2 linked regions of the Elephas maximus indicus genome follow. The protein of the gene in region 2 interacts with the protein of the main gene of each other region in a pairwise test. Links are inferred from orthologs where the notes say so. Each region holds a gene or a part of one and is shown on either strand. Other genes may lie near its edges. The genes, in order: TRIM42 and LONRF1.

The links.
Region 1: the proteins of LONRF1 (region 2) and TRIM42 interact in binary tests that used the Homo sapiens proteins (3 or more experiments, as listed by UniProt). The two-hybrid records come from large-scale screens. The link is inferred for Elephas maximus indicus from reciprocal best matches to the Homo sapiens genes LONRF1 and TRIM42.

What each region holds. Positions count from the first base shown.
Region 1 is NC_064841.1:18,928,337-18,941,352, reverse strand, and holds the start of TRIM42 (tripartite motif-containing protein 42), read left to right. Parts: upstream 1-6,634; coding exon 6,635-6,975; intron 6,976-10,065; coding exon 10,066-10,766; intron 10,767-13,016.
Region 2 is NC_064840.1:72,298,525-72,311,109, forward strand, and holds the start of LONRF1 (LON peptidase N-terminal domain and RING finger protein 1), read right to left. Parts: upstream 6,648-12,585; 5' UTR 6,574-6,647; coding exon 5,928-6,573; intron 1-5,927.

The sequences.
Region 1 (13,016 bases), on a different chromosome or scaffold from region 2:
TCCATTGCCCATCAAGTGATGAATGGATAAACAAAATGTAGTCTATCCATATGTCATGGATTGAATTGTGTCTCCCCACCACCACCACCAAACTATGTGTCAACTTAGCTAGGCTCTGATTTCCATTATTGTATGGCTGTGCCCCATTTTGTGATTTGATGTAATTATCCTCCATTTTGTGATGTGTTGTAAATCCTAACCTCTATATGTTAATGGTCAGACCAGACGAGTTGTGGAATGACATCAAGGATAGCATACATGAAGAAAGCAAGAAGTCATTGAAAAGACAGGAAGAAAAGAAAGACCAAGACAGATGTCAGAGGAGACTCTAAAATTTGCTCTCGAATGTTGAGCAGCTAAAGCAAAAGGAAGAAATGATGAAGTAAAAGAACTGAACAGAAGATTTCAAAGGGCTACTCAAGAAGACTAAGGGAAGTATTATAATGACACGTGAAAAGACCTGGAGATAGAAAACCAAAAAGGAAGAACACGCTCAGCGTTTCTCAAGCTGAAAGAACTGAAGAAACAATTCTAGCGTTGAGGTGCAAAAGTGAAGGATTCTACAGGGAAAATATGAAACGACGCAGGAAGCATCAAAAGAAGATGGAAGGAATATACAGAGTCATTATACCAAAAATAGTTAGTCAATGTTCAAACATTTCAAGAGGTAGCATATGATCAGGAACTAATGGTACTGAAGGAATAAGTCCGAGCTGCACTGAAGGCACTGGCAGAAAACAAGGCTCCGGGAACTGACGGAATATCAATTGAGATGTTTCAACAAACGGATGCAGCACTGGAAACGCTCACTCATCTACGACAAGAAATACGGAAGACAGCTTCCTGGCTGACTGGAAGAGATCCATATTTACACCTATTCCCAAGAAAGGTGATCCAACCGAATGTGGAAATTATAGAACAATATCATTAATATCACATGCAAGCAAAATTTAGCTGAAGATCATTCAAAAACGGCTGCAGTAGTATATCAACAGGGAACTGCCAGAAATTCAGGCTGGTTTCAGAAGGGGATATGGAACCAGGGATATCATTGCTGATGTCAGATGGATCCGGGCTGAAAGCACAGAATACCAGAAGGATGTTTACCTGTGTTTTATTGACTATGCAGAGGCATTCAACTGTGTGGATCATAACAAATTACGGAAAACATTGCAAAGAATGAGAATTCCCGAACACTTAATTGTGCTCATGAGGAACCTGTACATAGATCAAGAGGCAGTTGTTTGGACAGAACAAGAAGATACTGATTGGTTTAAAGTCAGGAAAGGTGTGCATCAGAGTTGCATTCTTTCACCATACCTATTCAATCTGTGTGCTGAACAAATAATTCGAGAAGCAGGACTATATGAAGAATGGGCATCAGGACTGAAGACTCATTAACAACCTGTATTATGCAGATGACACAACCTTGCCTGCTGAAAGTTAAGAGAACTTGAAGCACTTACTAATGAAGATGAAAGACCACAGCCTTCAGTATAGGTTACACCTCAACATAAAGAAAACAAAAATCCTTACAACTGGACCATAAACAACATCAGGATAAATGGAGAAAAGATTGAAGTTGTCAAGGATTTCATTTTACTCGGATCCACAATCAACACCCACGGAAGTGGCAGTCAAGAAATCAAAAGACACATTGCATCGGGCAAATCGGCTGCAAAAGACTTCTTTAACGTATTGAAAAGCAAAGATGTCATCTTGAAGACTAAGGTGCATCTGATCCAAGTTATGGTATTTTCAATTGCATCTTTATGCATGTGAAAGCTGGACAATGAATAAGGAATACCGAAGACGAACTGACACCTTTGAATTGTGGTGCTGCCAAAGAACACTGAATATACCGTGGACTGCCAAAAGAATGAGCAAAATCTGTCTTGGAAGAAGTACAACCAGAATGCTCCTTGGAAGCAAGGATGGAGAGACTGTGTCTTACATACTTCGGACATGTTGTCAGGAGGGATCAGTCCCCTGAGAAGGACATCATGCTTAGTAAAGTACAGGGTCAGCAGAAAAGAGGAAGACCTTCAGTGAGATGGATTGGCAGTGGCTGCAACAACAACCTCAAGCATAACAACAATTGTAAGGATGGCACAGGACCGGGCAGTGTCTCATTCTGTTGTGCATAGGGTCGCTATGAGTCGGTACCGACTCGACAGCATCTAACAACAACAAGAACATATGTTAATGAGGCAGGATTAGGTTATGTTAATGAGGAGTAGGTTATTTTTGTTAGGTTGATGAGGCAGGATTAGGGTCTTGAGTCAATCTCTTCTGAGATATAAAAGAGATTAAATAAGCAAGCGAGAAAGATATGAGGGAAGAGAGATACCACGCCACATGAAGATCGCCCAGGAGCAGAATTTAAGGAGACAAAAACTTTCCTCTAGAGCCAACAAAGGGCGAAAGCTTCCCCAAGAGCTGGCACCCTGAATTCAGACTTCTAACCTAAACTGTGAGAAAAGAAATTTCTGCTTGTTAAAGCCATCTACCTGTGGTACTTCTGGTATAGCAGCACTAGGTAACTAAGACACCATACAATAGAATATTATTTGGCCATGAAGTAATGAAACACTGATACATGCTACGACATAGATGAACCTAGAACACATAATGCTACGTGAAAAAAGTCGGACACAAAAGGTCATATGTTGTATAATTTCATTTCTATGAAATATCCTGAATATGCAAATCTACAGAAACAGAAGGTAGATTAATGGTTTCCAGGTGCTAGGGGAAGAGGGAACAGGGAGTGGCTGCTATTGGGTAGAGTTTCTTTTCAGGGTGATGAAATTAGATATGGTTCTGGAATTAGATATGATGATGGTTATGCAATCTTGTTAATATACTAAAAACCACTGAAATGTACGTTTTAAAATGGGAAACGTTATGGTATGTAATCATCTCAAAAAAAAAAAAAACAAGAGAAACCTTGCACAGACCAATGATGAAAATGAACCATATATCCAGGAGTAAAACTCAAACCTCTGTACCTGAAAGATGGGGAAGGATATTGGTAAAATTTAGTTTGGGCAAACGTGGGGAAAAGGTGTCTTCTCATACACTGGGTTGCTTTTTTTTTTCTTAATTGTGCTTTAGATGGAACTTTACAGAGCTAATTAGTTTCCCACTCAATGGTTTGTACATAAAGCGTTCTATGACATTGGTTGCATTCCCCCAATGTGTCCGCACTCTCCCCAATTCCACCCTGAGTTCCCAGTTTCCTTTCATCTGGATTTCTACCACCTCCTGCCTTCTCATTTTTGCTTTTGGGCAAATGTTGTCCTTTTGATCTCATATAATTGATACTTCTAAGGAACACATTCCTCTCAGGTGTTATTGTTTATTTTATGGGCCTGTCTATGGTTTGGCTGAAATGTGCTCTTTGGTAATGGCTTCAGTTCCAGGTCAGAAGGGTGTCTTAGGCCCATAACCTCAGATGTTCCTCCAGTCCCTGTCAGACCAGTAAGTCTGGTCTTTTTTGGTGAATTTGATTTTTTGTTCTACATTTTTTTCCCCACTCTGTCCAGGACCCTCTGTCGCAATGCTAGTCAGAATGATCAGTAGTGGTAGCTGGGCACCATCTAGTTCTTCCAGTCTTAGGGTCATGTAGGCTGTGGCTTATGTGGTCCGTTAGTCCTTTGGACTAATTGCTCACTGGAGTATTTGGTTTTCTTCGCTCTCCTTTTCCAGATGGGAAGAGATAATTAGTCGTATCTTAGATGGCTGTTCACAAGCTTTTAAGATCGCAGATGCTACTCACCAAAGTAGGATGCAGACAATTGTCATTATGAACTATGTTGTGTCAATTGAAGTAGATGTCCCCGAGTCTGTGGTCCTTCACCTTTAAGCCTAGGAACTTCATCGAGGTGTTTGGTTATGGCTAAGAAATTTCCATGACTGTGCCCCTTGTGTGCTCTATTGTCTATATTAACATACTTGCAGCACCTACAATTATATATGTAGAAATATCCACAACCAAACCTATATCTGCAGGGTAGGTGTGCTCCCTTACACCCCACCCCCCCACCTCTTTAGCATACTTATTTACCTGTGTATCCATTCATAGATTACTGTTAATACTATTGTTGCAGGATTATCTATGTTACAGTAATTACCGTAGGGGTCCTTAATTCTCGCATTCCTTTCAGTTTCTTCTTTTGCCTTGGTCGTGTTGTACTGACTTCCCTCATATTTTGTATTGCCTTTCCCTTCACCAATATTAACACGTGTCTTCTATTTTTCCCTCCTTCCCCCTCCCATCGGTGGTAATCATCAAAACAACGTGTGTGTGTAAATCTTTTCTTGTTTTTTTAACAGCGGTCTCATACGATATTTGTTCTTTTGAGATTGACTTATTTCACTCAGCGTAATGCCCTCCAAATTTATCCATGGTGGAAGATGTTTCGTGGATTCGTTATTCTTTATCATTGCCTAGTATTCCACCGTGTATACGTACCACAGTTTGTTTATTCATTCATCTACTGATGGGTACTTAGGTTGTTTCCATCTTTTTGCTATTGTGAATAATGCTGCAATGAACATGGCTGTGCATATATCTACTTGTGTCACAGCTCTTATTTCTTTAGGAGTGGGATTGCTGGATCATACGGTATTTCTATTTCTAGCTTTTTAAGGAAGTGTCATACTGTTTTCCATAGTGGCTGTACCATTTTACATTCCTACCAGCAGTGTAGAAGAGTTCCAATCTCCCCATAACCTCACCATCATTTATTATTTTCTGTGGTGTGTGTGTGTGTTTGTGTTTGGATTAGTCCCATTATTGTCGGAATGAGATGGTATCTCATTGTAGTTTTGATTTGCATCTAATGGTTAATGATCATGAGTGTTTCCTCCTGTGTTTGTTAGCCACCTGAATGTCTTCTCTGGTGAAGTGTCTGTTCATATCCCTCGCCCATTTTTTAACTGGATTGTTTCTCCTTTTGTTGCTGAGGCGTTGAAGTTTTCTATGAATTTTAGAGATTAGACCCTTGTCAGCTATATCACAGCCAAATTTTTTTTTTTCCCAGTCTATAGTAGGTTCTCTTTTGGAGAAGTCTTTTGATGAGTTTAACTGTTTAATTTTTAGGTCTCTCATACAGTGTTGCTGTCAGAATGTACTGGCACATACACTTTAACAAGCAATTTAATAATATCTATCAAAAAAGATAAAGTACATGTCCTATCACCCAGGATTTTTACTAGTAGGAATCTAGACTCAACATGTGGTTGGCACAGAGCACCCAGTGAATGCTCTTTCCTATTATGAATGTGATAATCATAAGAAGAGATAATAAATTATGCAAAAGACTCCTGCAGCTAAATTTCAACTCTTGCTTCTGCTTCGTTTTGGGAAAATAATAAGACAGTGTTTATATTACAGTGTGGTATAATCATGAAATGTCTGCTCTTTTAATTTCTGCAAGCTACATAAAGTAGAAATCTAAATTCTCCCCTATAATATAAGGTCTGGTTTCTAGGGATTCAGAGTATATATACTAGTAGAACAAGGAAACTTCAGCCCAGTTAAAGATTCTCATATGAAGTTCTAGTCTCTTGCTAATAGAGGTGCTGGGATGGGAGTAGACTGAGAGAAAGTAAACAGAGCTTGGGCCTCAGCCAGACTCCATCAAGCTGCAGAAAAACCAAGAAACACTCATAGTGACTTACACGTGAAACTAAAAAAAAAAAACAAAAAACCAAACCCATTGCTGTCGAGTCTGTTCCAGCTCATAGTGCCCCTATAGGACAGAGTAGAATTGCCCCATAGGGTTTCCAAGGAACGCCTGGTGGATGCCAACTGCCAACCTTTTGATTAGCAGCTGAACTTTTAACCATTATGCCACCAGGATTTCCGACTTATACTTGAAGCCTCATGAAAATCAGCAGCGATTATGCAGTGACTGACAAAACCATTAAGTATTGAAAGTGCCTAATTGTGCCTGTATCTGTTTTTTTCCTCTAATTCTTTCTCCAAATGATGATATCCCTTTAAGTGTGGCATTGCTAGTATTTGTAAACACTGTGTTCATCAAATGAAGAATTCTCTCTATGCAGAAAAAGCCCAAGGAGAGGAAAAACATGTCAGTCTACTTTCCCAATTAATTACACCCAGGCCTTGTAGCCCATGCAGACATACCTTGAAGTCAGCTTGCCCAAACTGCAAGCACAGCACTAAGCAAGGAGAAACAGCTTCTGAAATCCAGCCCATAAGCTGAAAGGCGACGAGTGACAGCTAAACCTTCAAAATGTCATTGTAACATCACTCCCCTGGAGCTGGTCTTGTGGAAGCATGGAGTGTCCATCAGTCCACCCGCTGCCATCCCCAACGTCTCACCCTCCTGCCCCACCTACACAGGGTGGTGAGATAATGGTGGGGAGACAGGGATTGTGACATAAGCAAAAAGCCTCAGGCTGATATGCGTAAATAACAGCCCATGAGCCTCCCAGTAGGGACATCACCTGTGAAGGCCTCCTAACAGCCAACCTGTTGCTGCCACCAAGCTGAAGCCTCATCAGGGGGAGGAGGGACCCCTCTACTGGAGAAGTAACAGCGGGACTCTGGTAGAGGAGGCGTCAAAAGTCCTAAGGGGCAGGCTGCCATCATGTAGGCACCATGGAGACTGCTATGTGTGTTTGCTCTCCATGTTGTACATGGCAGAGATGTTGTCCTCGGTTATGCTCCTGTCTGTGCTGCAAGTTCCTCTTCACCTCGGAGCGGAACTGCACCTGCTTCCCCTGCCCCTACAAGGACGAGCGAAACTGCCAATGCTGCCACTGCACCTGCTCCGAGAACCCCAACTGCCACTGGTGCTGCTGCTCTTGGGCCAACGACCCCAACTGCAAGTGCTGTTGCACGGCCAGCAGCAATCTCATGTGCCACTACTACGAGAGCCGCTGCTGCCGCAATGCCACCATCACGTTCAAGAAGGGCCGTCTCAAGAGCATCCGCACTTCGTAAGTGCCGGGCGTCTCCAATGTGGGGTCGCGCTGGCTCAGGACAACCAGGGGCCCTGTGCCAGCTGCGGGGCCCACAGGGCAGGCCAGGTACCCCCTGGGCCCACTTTTCCACCTGAAAAGAAAGAGACCAAGAATTTTGTAGTGATTAAATGTATCCTAAACAAGTGCTAACCACTTACAGACCTGAGTTCCAAATCCAAGCTCCACTAACTCCATGACCGAGTGCAGCACTGGCCCTCAGCCTCCTCATCTGTACACAGTGACAGTACCGTGGCTAATGCTGAGTGCGTCAGCAACTTGTCAGGCACTGCATGCAGGACCCCATTTAACCCTCCCATCATCTTCACTGTACCCATGGGGAAACCCAGCCTTTGAGAGGCTACGTTTCCCAGGATCATACAACAAGTAAGATGCAAAGTCAGGATTTGAACCTAGAGTCCATGCTCTTAACTTTTAAAAGGCCGTTCTGTAGAACGGAGAGAACAATACCTGCCATGATGTGGTGGGTATGAGGGCATGCTTTGTAACCTGTTATGTGATATAAAAACAGAAATTGCTCTTCCCCTTTCTCCTCTGAACTCTTGATATTGCCAACACTTACTGAGTAAGTGATGACTTTCAGCGGCCACTTTTAACTCCTATGGCTTATCTAGGTACCTTGGCACCTGTGACTCCTGCCAGCCTTTCCTTCTTTCCCATCCACAAGCCTTTACATTTAGGGTCTCAAGTACCCATCTGGGGTATTAACCCTCCATGCCAGGCATTCTGTATGTTCTTCTTAGTTTGGCCAAACCAGTCTTTTTATATCACAGATGAGCAGAGCACAGGGAAGTAAGGACAGACATCTTAGAGGAGGAAAGATGAAAGCTCATCCCTAGAAGGTGGCAGGACTTGGAGAGGCAGAGAAACGGGAGGCAGGATTGAGGCCTTTCAAGCCTGGAAAAGTACTTCTGTGCGCAAAGGTTCAGTGAATTCAGGGTAGAGGAGTGTGATCCATCTTGCAGTTACGCACATAGTAGACACTTAATGAACGTTACCCTTTACCCATGGACCTCTTATTGCTGTTTGCATGAATCCAGGGATTCTGCATGCAAGTCAGGAAGTTCTAGGGTGTGGAAAATTGTATCCACAAACCCCTTTCCTCTCAACTGCCCTGTTTTCTATGTATCAGCAAGAAAGAGTTTCTGAGCCCATTTCAGTGGAGTTGGGATGATATTGGCTGGTGCTTTGGGGAAATGACTCAGGCCAGTGACTTCCACACTTTGCTGTGCATTAGAATCACCTGGAGACAGGGACATACAGAAAATGCAAGAAGTCGAGGCAGAAAGGAACAGAGCCACAGGGTCAAGATCAAAATGTAATCCTTATCAATGTCAACGGGGGTAAAGGGATAGGTACAGCCACAAATTGTGTTTACCCCTCCATTCCCACAGCTAATTCATTTCTTTTCATACACTGCTTTTGCCCTGGTTGGAGCTTCTTAGAACACACACATGAATTTTACCAGTATGCTTTTACTTCACTCATAGTTCTTATGGTTAAATATAGGAAATCAGCCTCAGGCATTTGGCATAACGTAAGCAGACAAAGACTAAACACATACACCCAGAACAGTAGCAGCACACACTTTCCATGGACTTGACCACTGTTTTCCTCTACTGTGGACTTAGACAACTAGTAACAGAGGAAAGTAATTATAATGGGCACATTTACTGAAAGCTTACTACGTACCAGCAGTTCAGCACTTATCATGGATTATCTTATTTACGTTTTGTAAAAGTCTCATGACAGAAGCATTATTGTGAGCCTTGACTTACCAGTGAGGAAACTGAGGATGAGAGAGGTTAAGAAACTCATCCCAAAGGAGCAGCTCTAAGCTGGCACATTCCATCACATATAATCTTCCCCTAGAGCCCGGACTCTGAATTGTTACCTACTAGTCTGGTGGTTGGGACACACAGGTTCTTGGCTGTTGACGCCTGTCTACTACTGACCTCCTGATGTCCTGGGAAAAGCCCTTTACCTACCCTACTCTCTGTTCCATCCTATTGACAGTAATGATAATAATCTCAATACTCTCCAGGCAAAACCACCGATAACACACCTGTAGTTGTGGCGCAGTCGTTAAGCATTTGGCCACTTACCAAGAGGTCAGCAGTTTGAATCCACTAGCTGCTCTGTGGAAACCCTATGGGGCAGTTCCACTCTGTCCTATAGGGTCACTATTTGTTGGAATCGACTCGATGGCAACAGATTTTTTTAGCTGAACAAAAAATGGGTTTATTGACTCATTGCAACAACTGAGATCATATACCATGGGGAACTGTGTGGTAACTCCATAAAAGGACGTTAAAAAGTTACAGGATTTGGACTCATGTTAGGTGAGAACGTCGGTGTAAGTCTCTTATTGGATATCTTAATAAATCTTACCTTAAATGTGGAAAGAAGACAGCATAAAGCTGCAGTTGGGAAAGAAGTAGCAGTCACTCCACTCCTATTAGCCAGGGTAGGGGAATGTGTGGGCGTTTTTGTGGTTTGGACAATGTTGTTGGTTTTGTCTAAGTTCAGACATGACTGTGGAGTCGTCTTGTTTCTGTTTTGCTCCATCACAGTACCAGAGAGGCTTTGAATGATGTTGGTGCTCAGTGATATTATGTTCAACAGAAGAACACCAAGGTCTAACTGATAGCGCAGGCCAGGTCTGTTTGTCAGGGCCTGCTTTTCTCTTGTTCAAAAATAACAAGAGCAACAACAACGGCAGTTGTACAGCAGGCACTGTGTTCCAGGGACTTCTGTAAGTCCCTACGGGTATAAACTGCATTTCGGCTTTTCAAGAAAGGCTGTAACATGGTATTAGTTTTGTAATGAGGGAACAAGCAGAGAGGGGTTAACTCACTAACCTGAGGTCACCCAGCCAGCACGTGATGGAGGCATGTTTGGAACCCAGGCACTCTGTCCACTGAGTCCACGCACCTCACCTTCACACTGGACTGTTGTTCTGTGACCCCAAGGTCCTTTCAGGGCCCAAGGAACGGAGGGAGCTCTTGAGCCTGCCTCCTGAAGCCCTGTGTTTGCTTTCACTTTCAGTTCCAAGACCGCCTTGCGCATCGGAAGCAGCGATTCCCAAATTGAAGACATCACGAAGCAGATACCAGGAAAGAGCCACCTGGTCGACCATCTCACCTGCCCCATGTGCAACCGGCTGCGCCTGCACTCCTTCATGCTGCCCTGCAACCACTGCCTGTGCGAGAAGTGCCTGCGGCAGCTGCAGAAACACGCCGAGGTCACCGAGAACTTCTTCATCCTCATCTGCCCTGTGTGCGACCGCTCGCACTGCATGCCGTACACTCACAAGATGCAGCTGCCCGAGAACTACCTGCGCGGGCGCCTCACCAAGCGCTACATGCAGGAGCACGGCTACCTCAAGTGGCGTTTCGACCGCTCCACCGGGCCCATCCTCTGCCAGGTCTGCCGCAGCCGGCGCATCGCCTACAAGCGCTGCGTCACCTGCCGCCTCAACCTGTGCAACGACTGCCTCAAGACCTTCCATTCGGACGTGGCCATGCAGGACCACGTCTTCGTAGATACCAGCCCCGAGGACCAGGACGAGAAGATCTGCATCCACCACCCGTCCAGCCGCATCGTCGAGTACTGCCGTGGCGACAACCAGCTTCTCTGCCACTCCTGCAAGACTGCCTTGCACAACGGCCACGACACCATCAGCCTCATTGACGCCTGCTCCGAGAGGGCCGCTGCGCTCTTCAGCGCCATCGCCAAGTTCAAAGCAGGTCCTGGTCCCCTTCCAGTCCCCGCCCTCCGCCGGAATAACTAGTAGCTCAGGAACTGAGGGGGGAAATGGCTTGGGGCAGTCTGTTTAGTGAGAGATGTACCTCTACTTAGTGGAGCATCCCAAGTACTGGGAAACTCTGAGCTAACCCCAAATGCCACCAGCCATTTCACCTATCTGTGCCTGGGTTTTCCCATCTATGAAATGAGGACAATAGTAGTGATACCCTCGTTGGGTTGTTATATTAAGCTGGTTATCCTATGTGAAGCATACAGAAGAGTATCTGGCATATAATAAGCGCTCAAAATTCTGTCATCTTTGTTATTATCTTCATGTCCTCAGGACTCATTTTCCCCATTGAAAAATGAAGGGTTTGATCTCTTGGAACCTTGAGTTCTATAAACCTGTTGGAGGTAGGTATTTTTTTTACTAAAGTTGGATTTCTTCAGTACTTACCAACTTTGCTGGGGGAAAGAATTAAGTCAATGTTGGGAATTATCTCAACTTTAAGTTTTCCCCCATGAGTTTTTTCCCAAAAGTTGCAAACAAAGCAAGTGAGCCGGTAGCAAACATGTAATGACAAGGAAATTTGGAAATAGCCTATAATATTCTGTTTACAGCTTGTTTTTCCTCTGCATACCTGCTCATGGTTATTTCATGTTGTTGTTCGTTGTCATTGAGTCGATTTCGACTTATGGCAACCCGTGTATGAAGCAGTAGAGCTCCTCCAGAGGGTTTCCAAGACTGTGTGGCCTTTGGGAAGCAGATGACCAGGCCTGTCTTTTGAGGTACTCCTAGGTGGGTTTGAATCTCCAACCTTTTGGCTACTAATCAAGCATTTAACCATTTGTGTCTCTTGAGGACTCCTTATTTCTTATCAGCTATATATAATTTATTTAGTTTCTGTACGGGAAACTGACCCAAGTTTCCATGATGAAATCAGGTACAACAATATTTCACAAGGTTCAGAAAAGAGCTCCATGATTTCCAGGCACTTCTCCACCTGATTAATAGTCCTGAAGTACTACATCGGAATCCCCTCCATGAATAAGACAACCAGGGTTCAAAGAATTGGCACAAGGCAGCTAGTAAACGCCCAATTCAGTCTATCTAACTGTAATGCCCATGTTAGTTTCACAACATTCAATTGACAAACTGTTCTACAGTGGCCAAAACCTAAAGATAGATTAAACACACACAGAATCTATTTCCTTGAGGCATGGCCTAGAGTCAAGTGACCAAAGTGTACCAGGTCAAACCAGCCCTTCCACCTTGTCAGATATTTTACCCTCCATCCTATTAACATCCGTGAACGTAAACATAAAAGAGGGAGGAAACTTTTCCTTAAGCTTTGAATGCAAATATGTGTCAGAGACAGACTCTGCTAATTGTCATGTCATCGAGGACCTCTCACCAACATGAATATTTCAGGATTACCTTGATTTTCTCAATTCCTACTAAGAAATATCTGGAAACATAATTTGTCAATTGGCATTTATTCTGTTTTAGAACAACCAGAAAAGCTTCTATATTTTAAAAAAAAAAAAAAACCTACAAGAGCCAGGTTGCCAAGCAAATGGGTAACCCCATTGGCTCCTTAAGGTTTTTCTTTAAGTAGAACTTACTGTGTGCCCATATCTGGCTCTGCTGGATTCTCTGCAGCCTAAGCATGGGGAAAGGGCTGTGGCCCCCATGAAATTGCAGGGGGCCTGGGTCTTTAACACAGGAGAAGCCTACGATAGTTTTCTCAGAGTCCAGAAAACTTCAGACAGTGAAGTTCCATTCAGGGTAGGGGCCACTCCCACTGCTGTAGAGTCGATTCCGACTCATAGTGACCCTAGAGAACAGAGTAGAACTGCCCCATAGAGTTTCCAAGGAGCGCCTGGCGGATTTAAACTGCCAACCTCTTTGGTAGCAGCCGTAGCACTTAACCACTATACCACCAGGGTTTCCAAGGGTAGGGGACACCAGTACAGATCCCCAAGAGCTCAGCATTTAGGAAGGAGGCAGGGGTCATCTCCATGGCATATCCATTTAGATATAGATAAGGAATTTAGCCTGTCCATTTCTTTTTTTTATTATTATTGTTACTGAAGGAACAAAAAAAAAAAGAAAAAATCATTTAACCAGGGTAAAAATTTGCTCTTGAGGACTCAGTTCACTGAGGAGGTGCCCTGAATCTGCGTTGTAAATGAATCTTCAGGTAATTTCAAAAGCAGGAGTCTAAGAACGTATTTTGAGAAACTCTGAG
Region 2 (12,585 bases):
GCAGTTGTCGATAATATTAAACAGTATTTCAAAACAAGCTGATAAAGAAATGAGATTAACTCTTGAAGCAAGGTATTAAAAGATTGTTTTCCACTTCTTCTTTTAACCAAACAAACCTCAGCTCAGATGGGAAATACCTACTTTACGGGTCAGCAATACAGAGCCCTGGTGGCACAAAGGCTAAGTGCTCAGCTGCTAATCAAAAGGCTGGCGGTTCCAACCCACCCAGGGACTCTACTGGAGCAAGACTTGGTGATCCACTCCAGTAAAGATTACAGCCTGGAAAACCCGATGGAGCAGTTCTACTCTGTCACGTGGGGTTGCCAAGAGTCACACACACACACACAAAAATGAGACTCCATGCCACCTAACAACAACAGTAGCACGGAGTTAAGTAAAACAGCGGGTCAAGCAAGGAGGGGGAAGGAAAAAAACAAAGAAAACTGGTTCTATCCTACCAAAAACAAAGAAAAAAAAAATGAGCAGAAGCTTCTGTCTTGCATTTTAGAGCGCTTGTAGGCAATTCACACTCTATAGTAAAACATAATTAATTCCAACTTTAAAAAACACCTTTGCACAGTCAAGAAGCAGGACACCACACAAATTCGTTTAAAATGATACTTGAATATTTCCAAAAAAAAATATTCCCTTAAATATAAAATAGATTCTGAACAAACAGGAAGTCAATGTACAAATAACTAGAAATCTCAGAAAGCTGGGTTTTGCTAAGTTTTGTATTATTGGCTTAATAAATAAAAAATAGGCAAAAACATGCAAATTATTCATAAAAAGCAGGGTATTTAATAGCCTTTATAGAACCCATTTTCTTCATGTTCTATAAAAAGGTATAGCAACAATTGTGAGGATGGCACAGGACCGGGCAGTGTTTTATTCTGTTGTACACAAGGTCGCTATGTGTCGGACCCAACAAGACAGCACCTAACAACAACAACAACGTAAGAATGTGCCATCATAACTGATATTATGGTGACCATGAGTCACAGCAAAAATTCTTAAAGTGTCTTCTGAATTAAAAGATAAATCTGAGATGTACTACATGTAGCCTCAATTAATTGGAAGCTAATTAAGCAGTAAGCCCCATTTTCTAGTGATATCCAAGAAAAATCCGTTTGGTGAAATTATAGAAAAAACAAAAATACAAAGTAGATAAGGACAGGGACTTAATTTTGTTCACTTCTGTTTTCCAGCACCTAAAACAATGCCTGGCTATTGGTTACTGAATAGATGGTAAAAATAGCTAAGGTTTATGCTTTACGTGTAAATTTTAAAAATCAATTTAATGCTTAGAGACAATAGCCACACATCTGGTTTCCTGGTTCAGTTCAAGCCTGGCTACTGACTTGCCTGAATAAAGTCACTTAGGGCTCTTGTAGCTTTTCTCTCCCATCTGTGAATTAGGGGTACGAACACTTGCTATCCTACCTGACTTGATCTTATATGAAGCTCAGTTAGGATAATGGAAGCTAAAGGATTCTGTGAACTATAAAACATCATATAAATGCCAGTGTCTACTGTTTCAAGCAAGTCCTTTGTGGAATAAGTTAGGATATGAATTTTATTGACTAAATTCAAATCTCTTCACTGAATCTAGTTAAGTGGCTAAGGATATTAAAAGCCCTATATTTCTTTAAATGTATTCAGTATTTACCTAGGATCTGACCAATATCTTTAGAACTAAAGCTTTGCAATATCTATATTTTATTGATGTGTACTAAAATGTTACTACAGGTAGCCCCAACTTATACCAGGGCTCCTTTCCAATGACTTCCTAGTAAGTCCCTTCTGATGTAAGAAACACTTTTTTTTTTTTTCCAGTTTTTGTTATTATTGCCTTTTATTTTCAGTATCTTTATAAATCTGATCTTTGTCTTTGGGGGTTGGAAACATTACCTATAAACATCTAAGAGTGAACATCTGAGAATAACATCGGCAAATTACACGCTGCCACACTGTATGTAGTACATATTGCCAACAATAAATTCACTAAAAAAAAAAAAGTCATTAAGTGCAGTTTGCCTTCACACAAATACGTTGCAAATGGAGGACTACCTGTACTAAATAACATGTGCAGGCAAGGTCAGGATTTAACCATCGTTCTGGTAATAAATACCATGAATGTGGGAGAGAGAAAAGGACAAGATGTGAAATCACTAAGGTCTACATTTTAACTCAGCTAGCTGCAGCACAGCTTGTACATTTTAAAAATATTTTAATTCCTATTTAGTGCTTTTACTGTGTCAGGCACCATTCAAAGCGTTTCATGTGCTTTGATACAATTCTCAAAGCAATTCTATGAGGTAGATACAATTGTCTCTTTTTAAATGAGAAAACCACAATAAGGAGAGGTCAGACAGCTGGCCCAAGGTCTGAGAGCTAGTGGCAGGCTGCAGTAAGACTGAAAACTAGGTAGGTGGCTTCCAGCATCCACAGCTCTCATCACCAAGCTGTACTGCACAGCAATCTTGGGGTGCCTCAATTTTGCTGTAAGGATAAGACTGCCCAGGATTCTGTGTGAGGATCAAATGATATAAACAATGTAACAATACTTGGTAAGAGTCAAGGACTATATAATTAACATTAAAGACAAAAATTTCCCTCCCCAAGAATTTTACATGGAAACTCTGGTGGCCTAGTGGTTAAGTGCTGCAGCTGCTAACCAAAAGGCCAGCAGTTCAAATCTACCAGGCACTCCTTGGAAACTCTACAGGGCAGTTCTGCTCTGTCCTATAGGGTCGCTATGAGTCGGAATCGGCTCAAGGGCACTGGGTTTTAAGAATTTTACATAAAATGTTCTCCCTAAGGTCCTGTATTTTTTAAAAACTGGCTCGAGCTGTAAATTATGCTGCTTTGTTGCCTTTTGGGGGGGGAAAGGGGTGTATACAGGGAGGTGCCAAGTCAGTGTAAAAATCCATTTAAAATAAATTGCAAACAACATAGCATTGTGGGATCATTTCAATAGACTCTTGTTAAGTCTAAAGATTCAATGTAGAAAAGACTTTTACATAACATCCTTGAACACTAAGAAGGCAGAAAGTTACGAAACATCTGAGAGTTAATACCAAAAGATCAATGGATTAAATGTTTTCTAAATATACCTCAATGCAACAGAAACTTATGTAATCTCAATGGGAAACTTGTGATTTTGGCAAAGGTTTTCAAACCTTCTGGTTGACGGATTAATCATGTGTGGGCTAACTGCAGAGGCGATTTTTTTCTTTCTAGCTAGTATTTACTTGTTACATTACAACAATTCTATGAATAAGTTATAGTGAAGGCCTTCATTATTAATAATGAAAGTATTATTAAATAGCTACAACAGTACAATAAATAAATTTCAAATGTCTATCAAAAGATCAAAAGGTCAGCAGTTCAAATCCACCTGGCGCTCCTTGGAAACCCTATGGGGCAGTTCTACTCTGTCCTATAGGGTCACTATGTGTCAGAATCGACTCGACAACCACGTGTTTGGTTTTGGTTATCTAATCAACTCTCAAGAAATCTAACAATTGTACAAATATATGATTTTACTAGTTAATGTTTTTATTTATGCCCATAAACTGTGAAGCACACTGTCTGCACTTTATCAACTCATTTGTTGGCTCTAAGACTTTGTCCTACTTCGCCCTAAGAATTCAAGGGATGCAAGAATGTACACTTATTAACTTAAGAGAAGGTTATAATCATTAGTTCAGTAGTAGTTAATACTGAATAGTGCTGTTGGTAAGTTGCATCCTCTTAATTTATGCTCAAAAAATTATACTGGTGACCAAAAAAAAAAACTTTTTTGGAAATTTATATTAAACATTTTTATTGGATGAGCTACAAAGGCAGCTATGGATCCTGGACCAACATTTAGGAGAAGAGGACCAACACTGAGCAGAACAGTTAGGAGACCTGCTAGCTGCGTGGGTGTGGACCAGCCATTTCACTGCCAGGCTCCTGCTTCTTCCTTTTTAAAATGAGGCCCATGGCGAGATACTACATGGGCTGCACAGCTGAGACCAGCTTCCCCACTCTCCCTCTAGCCCCACCGAGAGGCAGAGCCCTGCGCACACGAATTCTGTACTCCAGATAGATGTCATTTGTTCTGAGTCTATCACTCCCCACTCTCCCTCTAGCCCCTCCAAGAGGCAGAGCCCTGCATACACGAATTCTGTACTCCAGATAGATGTCATCTGTTCTGAGTCTATCGTTCTATTTTCTAAGTGCCTACTCTTCAAAACGATACTGAACGAAAATGGAAATATGTTGACTTTGCGCTTTGAACCCTGAAAGTGTTAAATTATTCAAGTTATTGTCACTAGTTCAAAATGACTAAGCACTTAGGGAAAAGACGAACCAGAATAGACTTTCAGGTACATCGTTCATAAATTTACCTAATTCCTAACATTGTATTTTAAATGTCTTCTTATTTTCTTGGAAATACGCACCTAAGTATTATTCCTTTCCAATATACAAATCCAAACAAAACCAAACCCATTGCCGTTGAGTCAGCTCTGACTCACAGTGACCCTGACTTATCAGGACCCTATAGGACAATAGGGTTTCCAAGGCTATAATCTTTATGGAAGCAGACTGCCACATCTTCTCCCCAACAGTGGCTGGTGGGTTCCAATCGCTCACCTCCCACCTTTCGGGTCAGCAGTCCAGCACTTAAGCACCTGCACCACCAGGGCTCCTTACTCCAATATATAGACACTAAACTCTTGAAATACGCTTATATAACACAAGGCTTATCAACAGCGCCACTACTGACATGTGGGGCGTGATAATTCTTTGTGGTGGGTGGTTGTCCTGTGATGCTTAGCAGCATACTGACTTTAATCAACTAGATGTTAGTACCACCAGTGCCAGCCCAAGTTATGACAACCAAAAGTCTATCCTGGTGGCCAACTGTCCTGAAGAACCCCCCCTCCAGCTGCCTCCAACTGAGAAACATCGACTTAGAAGAACACCTCATTTTACGGAGGGGCGTTGGCCATTGCTTCCTTCCAGCAGACTAAGGGTACCTTAAGCAAAGTGTTAGCCTAAGTTAGAAGACAGAAGCAGCTTCCAGGGGATGAAGAAACAGACAACAGAGCTACAAAGCTCTCCCCACAGTTTGATCAAGAGTGGAAAGGCACACAAAAGCATGGCAAAGTACTCCATCAAAGGCTGCCTCTGTCTTTACAACGACGAGCTAGGTGCATTCGAAAACAAACATATGCGTATATGAAATAGATGAATTGAAACAGGAAGGTGGAAACCTTCAAGAAGAGCGACCAATTTTGAAGGCGTTTTCAGGCAAGGGGTGGCCGCCCCGGCCAGCGCCTGCATCGCCCGAAGCCGGGGCCCGGCAGGGGAGCCTTGGGGTGCCGGAGCCAGAGGAGCTCCCGCCACGCCCACCGGACGTCACCCGTTACACAACTCCCCCCCCCCCCAAGCTTATGCAATTCCGCCCTCCCGCGGCTCCCATTGCCCGGGTGACTTTTGTGGGAGAAGAAGGTAAACGTTGCACGCCTGGCCGCGGGTGGGGGCCTCTCCCGCCCCGGCTGTCGTTCCCCGCGGCGGGCTCCCCAGGGCCCGCGCGGCGGCGGCCAATTCCCGGAAAGCGCGGCAGGAAGCGGGCGGCCGCTCGGGCTGGCCCACCTCCCTGCCCACCGCGCGCTCGGCCGCCTCGGCCCCGGGCCCCCGCTCCGCTCCGGACGCCCGGCGGTGGCCGCTGGCCGAGGGAGCCGGCGAGGGAACTCCGCGCCCGTGCGCCCCTCCCCGCGCCGCGTCACAGTCGGCTCCGAGGGCGATCCCCATTGTGACCGAAGCACTCCGGGGCGCCGCCCCTCCCACACCCGCGCGGACCCCGGGACCCGAGGGGCCGGAGACGGGAGAGGAGGGAGGGCGGGCCGGGCCGCGCCGCTCCCCGCGGTCACCTGCTCGCAGCGCCTCGCAGGCGGCGGCCAGGGCCTCCCGGTAGCGCCCCTGCTGCAGCAGCTCCCCGAGCCGGCCGGCCGCCCGGGCCCTCTCCCGCAGGCCCGGGAACCACTTCTCGGCCAGGTGGTTGAGGACGACGCTGGTCCTGAAGCCCGAGGCGGCGGCCGGGGGCGGCGGCCCCTGGGCACCGGCGGCCGGCAGGCGGGCCCGGCAGAGGCGGCAGTGGGCGCGGAGCTCTCTCCGCAGGCAGCGGCGGCAGTAGCTGTGGCCACAGGGCACGGTCACCGGCTCGCTCAGGAAGCCCCGGCAGCCCAGGCAGCTCAGGAGCCCGGCGGCGCCGGCCTGGGCGCCCGCAGCCGGGGCCGCGCTCCAGCGCAGCCCGTGCCGGAGCCGGTAGTTGAGCACCAGGCAGTCCACCAAGGTGCCGAGGCGCTCGGGCCTGCCGGGGGCCCCGCGGCGCAGCGCCGCAGAGTACGCCTCCAGCGCTCCCTTCAGGTGGCCGCCCAGCGCCAGCAGCTCGCCGCGGCGCAGCAGCAGCTCCCCGCGCTCCAGCCGCTCGCCGCTGCCGCCGCCCACTGCCCAGCGCCGGGGGGCCACCTCGCGGCTCCCCCCCGGGCCGCTCCTCGCCACCGCCGGAGACGACATGGCCCGCGGACGGCTGCTGCTCCGCCGCCGCCGCCGCCGCCCCGCTCCCGGAGCCTCCGGGGCGCGCGGCTCCGCACGCGGCCCGCGAGCAGGGGGGCGTGGCGCGCGGACACGGCGGGCAGCGCGCGCCCGGGAAGCCCCGGAGGCGGGCCGGGCCGGGCCGGGCCGGGCCGGGCGGGGCGGGGCGGGGCGGGGCCGGGCTCGGCTCCCCCTCGGCCGGCGACAACCGACCGCGCGGCCCCCGCCCCTCGCGAGCCCCTGCTGGCGAGGACCGAGGTCAGATGATCCCCCAGCGCCGATCCAATTGGCTTCTGAGGAAAGAAGGGCCCGGCTAGTTGTTGGCGAACAAAGGACCTCCCTCCCCTTCCCTAACCGCCGGACTTCCCCACCTGCTAGGCCCTCTGCCCTCGTCTCTCCTCCAGCCCCTGCTCGGCCGGCCCTCCGGCCGGGCAGCCAGCCTCGCGGGTCTGAGGCTTGAAGGACCGACCTTCCCCTGACACGCCCGCCCACCTGGGTGGGGACCCGAGGATCCGCCCCCAATTCCTGGCTGGTGGGAGCCTGCACGCGTGGTGGGGCCGTCGTCAGGTGCAGCTCTGCTTTACGCCCCAAGTTACAGATGGTATGTACAGGCAGAGGGCTTAGGGATGCGTCAAGTCAGCCGCATGACTTGGTGACTCAAAACTTTAGAAACAAACGAACAAAACCAGCCACGTTCCTAAGGCGACTGCCCTCCAGAGAGCAAGGCAGTTAGCCCTGATGCCAAGTTACTGCTTTTCCTGTTTAAAACCCAGCCCCTAGCTCGAGGGGGGAAGCCCACAGGTTTCTGGTATGCCAGCTGTATTCGCCACACCTCAGTCACTGCCCCCAGTGCCGGCTAAGGTCTATAAAAAAAAAAAAAGGTCTATAGGGGGTGGTTTTAAAAAGAAATGAGGAAAAAATGCTTTTCATATGGCAGGGTTACTATATCACTATGACCCAAGCAGGGTCTGCATTTTGACAACAGAAGAAAATGACCTGATTTATATATAATGGGTTATATTGACTTTAATTAAACTTGACAGTGGCAAGTTTAAAGCTCTCAGTTGAAAACGTTTATAGATTTGATTATATACTAGATTGTCAATGCCGGAAGTGACTGGAGAACTTTTAGTCCTTTTTCAAATGGAAAATGGTGGCCCAGAGAGGGGAAGTTATTTGCCCCAAATCACACGGCTAATATTCTACAGAGGTTTTAAGGTCATCTAATTCTCATTCCACTATTATGTTCCTACGTTAGATTCTAGAAATAATTTACACGAGATTTCCAAAGTAAAGGGAGTTGCTTACTGGAATGTTAACCTGAGCATGCTTTGTCTGAAATTGGCTAATATTTAATTAATACCCCTCTACACACAACAGCAGTTAGGACTCAAAACCACGTTTTCAATCCCGTTTGTTTTTACTACACACTGAGCAAATCATGTAATTTCAGAGAAGGTGTAGCTCTGTTTCCCCAGAAGGTATGAGGAAGAAGAGTTGACTGAGAAAAAGTTGAGGCTCCTGCTTCAACCCAGTGCAGAGGAAAGCAAGTTCAGTTATCATTCACGTGGCACCCAAAGCAAATTATGGCTAAGCCCCCCCCCCAAAAAAAACCCATTGCCATCGAGTTGATTCCAACTCATAGCAACCCTATAAAAAATAAAACTCATAGCTGTCCAGTCAATTCTGACTCACAGTGACCGTATAGGGCAGAGAGCAGAACTACATTCATAAAGTTTCCAAGGAGTACCTGGTGTATTCGAACTACCGACCTTTTGGTTAGCAGCTGTAGTTCTTAACCACTAAGCCACCAGGGTTTATAACCCACTAAAACCAAACCCACTGCCATTGAGTCGATTCAGAGTAGAACTGCCCCATAGAGTTTCCAAGGAACGCCTGGTGGATTCGAACTGCTAAACTTTTGTTTAGCAGCCGTAGCACTTAACCACTATGCCACCGGGGTATCCACCAGGGTTTATAAAAAAAAAAATGGCAACTCCTAATTATTTGGGGGAAGGGGTTAGTGTGATTAATTCATGATCATAACCTCAAATCTAATCCCAACTCTTTACATTGCTACCTTCTCTCAATTAGCAAAACAATGACGTTAGTCAGATGCCCACACACTCATTTGAGACTTGAAACCGTAAGTCCCAGAAAAAATATCCCTATGCTTGTGAACATTAACTTTTAGGGTGCATTCTTGTCATCAAGAGCAACTTGCAACAATGTACAGTGGTAAATATTTAATAAATAGATGTTTTTATGGTCACACAAGGAGTATAAGACATTGATACATATGCATAAATTACCAAATACAGATTACTCCGGTTGTATTAGGGAATTTCCCCCCAAAGTCAAATGTGTGATTCAGAAAAGACTGTGAAGTAGCATTTGTCCTTTGGAGTTTCTTTCCCTCATAAGTATGACAAATCTCCAAATCTAATTCTGTTGTGAAATAAAATGGCACAATTATGAGAATGTGAGAAAAAGGGGGGGGGGCTGTAGGAGGAATCTAGCCATGTTCTCCTTGGCATTTGTGAATGGTTACAATTGATGTTTTCTGGTTTATACATTTACATAACTCCTTCGCATTTATGTAACTTATTTATGTAAGAGGCTGTGCTGCTGCTGTGGTCTGTGTGCCTCGCACACCTTCCCTCTGAAGCCGCAAGTCAGTGTGGGGCAAGGCAGTCTCGGCGATGTCTCGGCGATAGAACGGGTCATTCTCCAGTTATTCTGTGTCACCCAAAAGAGATATGCAGTTGAATGTGGTTTCTGTTTAAATTCAAAAGAGAGAGAAGTTGGTGTCTTTCTTCATTCATTTTCTAAAATTTAGACTTTGGTTTCTGACTCACTGGGGAGAGGAGGAAATTCTGTGAAGCAGCGCTTGGCCAGGAGGAGAGTGACGGGGCGAAGCTCTGCCTCTTTTTCCTTCCAGCATTATTCTCTCCTGATATTCTTTGCTCACAAAGCAGTGAAATCAGGAGATTTGTATTTCATCTCAGTTTTTTTAGTGTTGTCTTCTAAAATGAGATCAGTTATGTAAGAGAGTACCAAGAAACACGTAACTGTTTCCTAATTTGGAAAATGCTTATCACCATCCTTCCTGCTTATCCCTGTCCCCCACCCCCCACCACCACGCCACAAGAAGACCGTTCTGATGTAGTTAAAGTAAACTCTATTTAGCAGTAATGTAACAGGGCTTTCCTTGTACATAAGTTAGCCGAACATGTGCATTGGAACCTCTTTTTTTTTACATGGGTGAATTTATCATTTGTTTCTTCACATCTTATCTTTAAAAAGGGGAGACTGAGTTTAAGCTATGAAGAAAAAGAGCCAAGCAAAATTACCTCCACTTCCTCTGGTTCATTTCAGTGGATAACATTCTACACGATATATTGAAAACAGTGAACTCTAAAGTTTCATCAGTACATACCAATAGTGTTTTTATATATACAGATGGGAGGGGCATTGAGACCACCTCTTCACAGCCCTCATTTTATACAGGAGACAGCTAAGATCCGAGAAGCTGCTGGTTTACTAGAAGGCATACCGAAGAGGGCATCCGGACGTGGTGCTGACCGTATTGATGCCTCTGTACCTGGGAGGAGCTCACCTGGCTTCGCTGGGCTTCATTTGCCATCTGAGGGAACTGGAAGGATCTCTAAGGTCCCTTGCACCTCTGGAGCTGAGCCCCAGGAATTTGTCGGAATCCAGTGAGAAGAGGCAGAGCCTCCCAGACTCAGGAACACAGCAATGTGACACCTGATGAAAATGTAACAGCAGAAGATGAAGGCTGAGAATAGACGAGGGAACCAAGGAGCACACTTGTTTTTAGCGAGCTCTCAGCCCTGCTCAGCAGAGGGGAAATCAAACTCTGGAACGTAAATTTTTTCAGTGGTTGGATAGGGATCACTCACACGTGCACGTACACACACACACACACCCCCCTCCTTGTCCCTACTGTAGATCTGTGAGAGGCTGAAGGTAAGCCTCTGGGGGGAGGAGTGGCTGGTTATATAATCTGGGCATTTGTGAGAAAGTTTATATAAGATGCTAAAAATACACAGTATATGATTGCTATAATGGTGTTCTCAGCAAAGAGCCCGAATGAGGATAACCTGAATAGGTTAAATAGAGGTGATGGTAAGTAGAAGCCTAAACTTAATTTCTTACAATGACTTCTGTCTCACCAAGTACAGCTCACTGTTAAACTACACTGTTATCCCACAAGGGATACTGTGAAAATGCTCAAGGGACAATACCCTTACCAAGGATACTATTCTGAATTCTTCTTTAACACTCTGAAGAATCTAGGTATACTAAATGCATATGCTATATTCTGGAGAAAAAAGACTGGTGATATACTTCTGAAAAATCAGTGGATGAAAAAATCCTATGGGTCACAATGATCTGATTCGGTTGTCCATGGGGCTGCCCTCAATCAGGGCTCGACGTGACAGCAGCTAATAACAACAAGAACATCCTGTCTTCTGTTTTGTTGGGAGTCAAATCGAGAAGATGAATGCATTTGCAAATATTAAGATGTTAAACGGAAATAGACAAAGGAATACATCCCATTATTTTAGCAAGTTCTAAGAACTGATGAATAAAATCTCCCAGTGCTTCCTGTTTTCTTGCCTTGTATTTTCCACCCTTTGGCACTAATGTCATCTGACATTTATATGTATTTTTCTTCCTTAAGAATGTAAAGTCCTGCCCATCATGTTCACCAATGGGTTTCTAACACCTAGGGCATGGGGAAGATAGTAGAGAATCACTGTTGAACTAATAGCTACACAAATTAAAGACATCACCTAGTACTCTTCATTCTTCTTAGTGACGAAAACTCACTAACATACTGTTGTTGTTGTTGTTGTTAGTTGCCATTGCATTGACTGCAACCCTTGGTGACCTTATGTGCAACAGAACAAAATGCTGCTTGGTCTTGTGTCATCCTTACAATCACTGGCATGTTCGAGTCCATTAGTCCTGCTACTGTGCCAATCCATCCCACTGAGGGTCTTCCTTGCCCTCATTGGACCTCCACTTCACCAAACACAACGTCCCTCTCCAGTGATGTGTCCAAAGCAAGCAAATCTAACAATGTTCTATTGTGATCCATAAGGTTGTCATTGGCTAATTTTCAGAAGCAGATCACCAGGCCTTTCTTCCTAGTCTTAGTCTGGAAGCTGTGCTGAAACCTGTCCACCATGGGTGACCCTGCTGGTATTTGAAATACCAGTGGCGTAGCTTCCAGCATTGTAGCAACACAGAAGCCTCTACAGAATGACAAACTGACAGACGGTGGTGGATTAACACACTGGTACAATTTTATTTCCTCCATTTCTCCTCTCTGTCTCTCACACTGAACATCTGGTCTGCCAGAAAATCCTTTTGGTTCTACCTTCAGAATATACCCAGAGTCAGTCTCTTCTCTCCTCTCCGCTGCCACCTCCCTGTTCCAGGCTACCAGCATCTACCAATTGAATTACTGCCACAGACTCCTGCCTGGCCTCTGTTTCTCTCATTTCTCCCTCTGTTCCATTGTCAAGTCAGGAACTGTGATCATCTTAAAGCATAAACTCCCTTGCTCTCCAAAACACAGCTCAGGAGACAATCTGCAGTCCCAGCTGTGACGCAGAAGTCGGCGCTTAAGTCTGCCTCCACCCTCCACCTCTGATCTCACCTCCCCCTGGTATCCTTGTTCCTCACTCCTCTCCAGGCTCACTAGCCTCTTCACCAAGGTTCATAGCTCAAGGCCTTTGCGCTTCCTGCCCTACACACTTTACAACCCTACACGCCCTTCACCACAGCCTCTGTTTCTTGATGCCTTCACTTCAGTGACCCCTGGGCTTCAACCTCAATCCACAACTGCTGTCTCCCTCTGGGGCCTGCACCAGGCCCCGGTGTGACCTGCCGTGCAACAGAGCCCTTTTTGTCCTCAGGGCAGAGACATGGTCTGTTTCCCCCGACCCCAAACACAGCAAG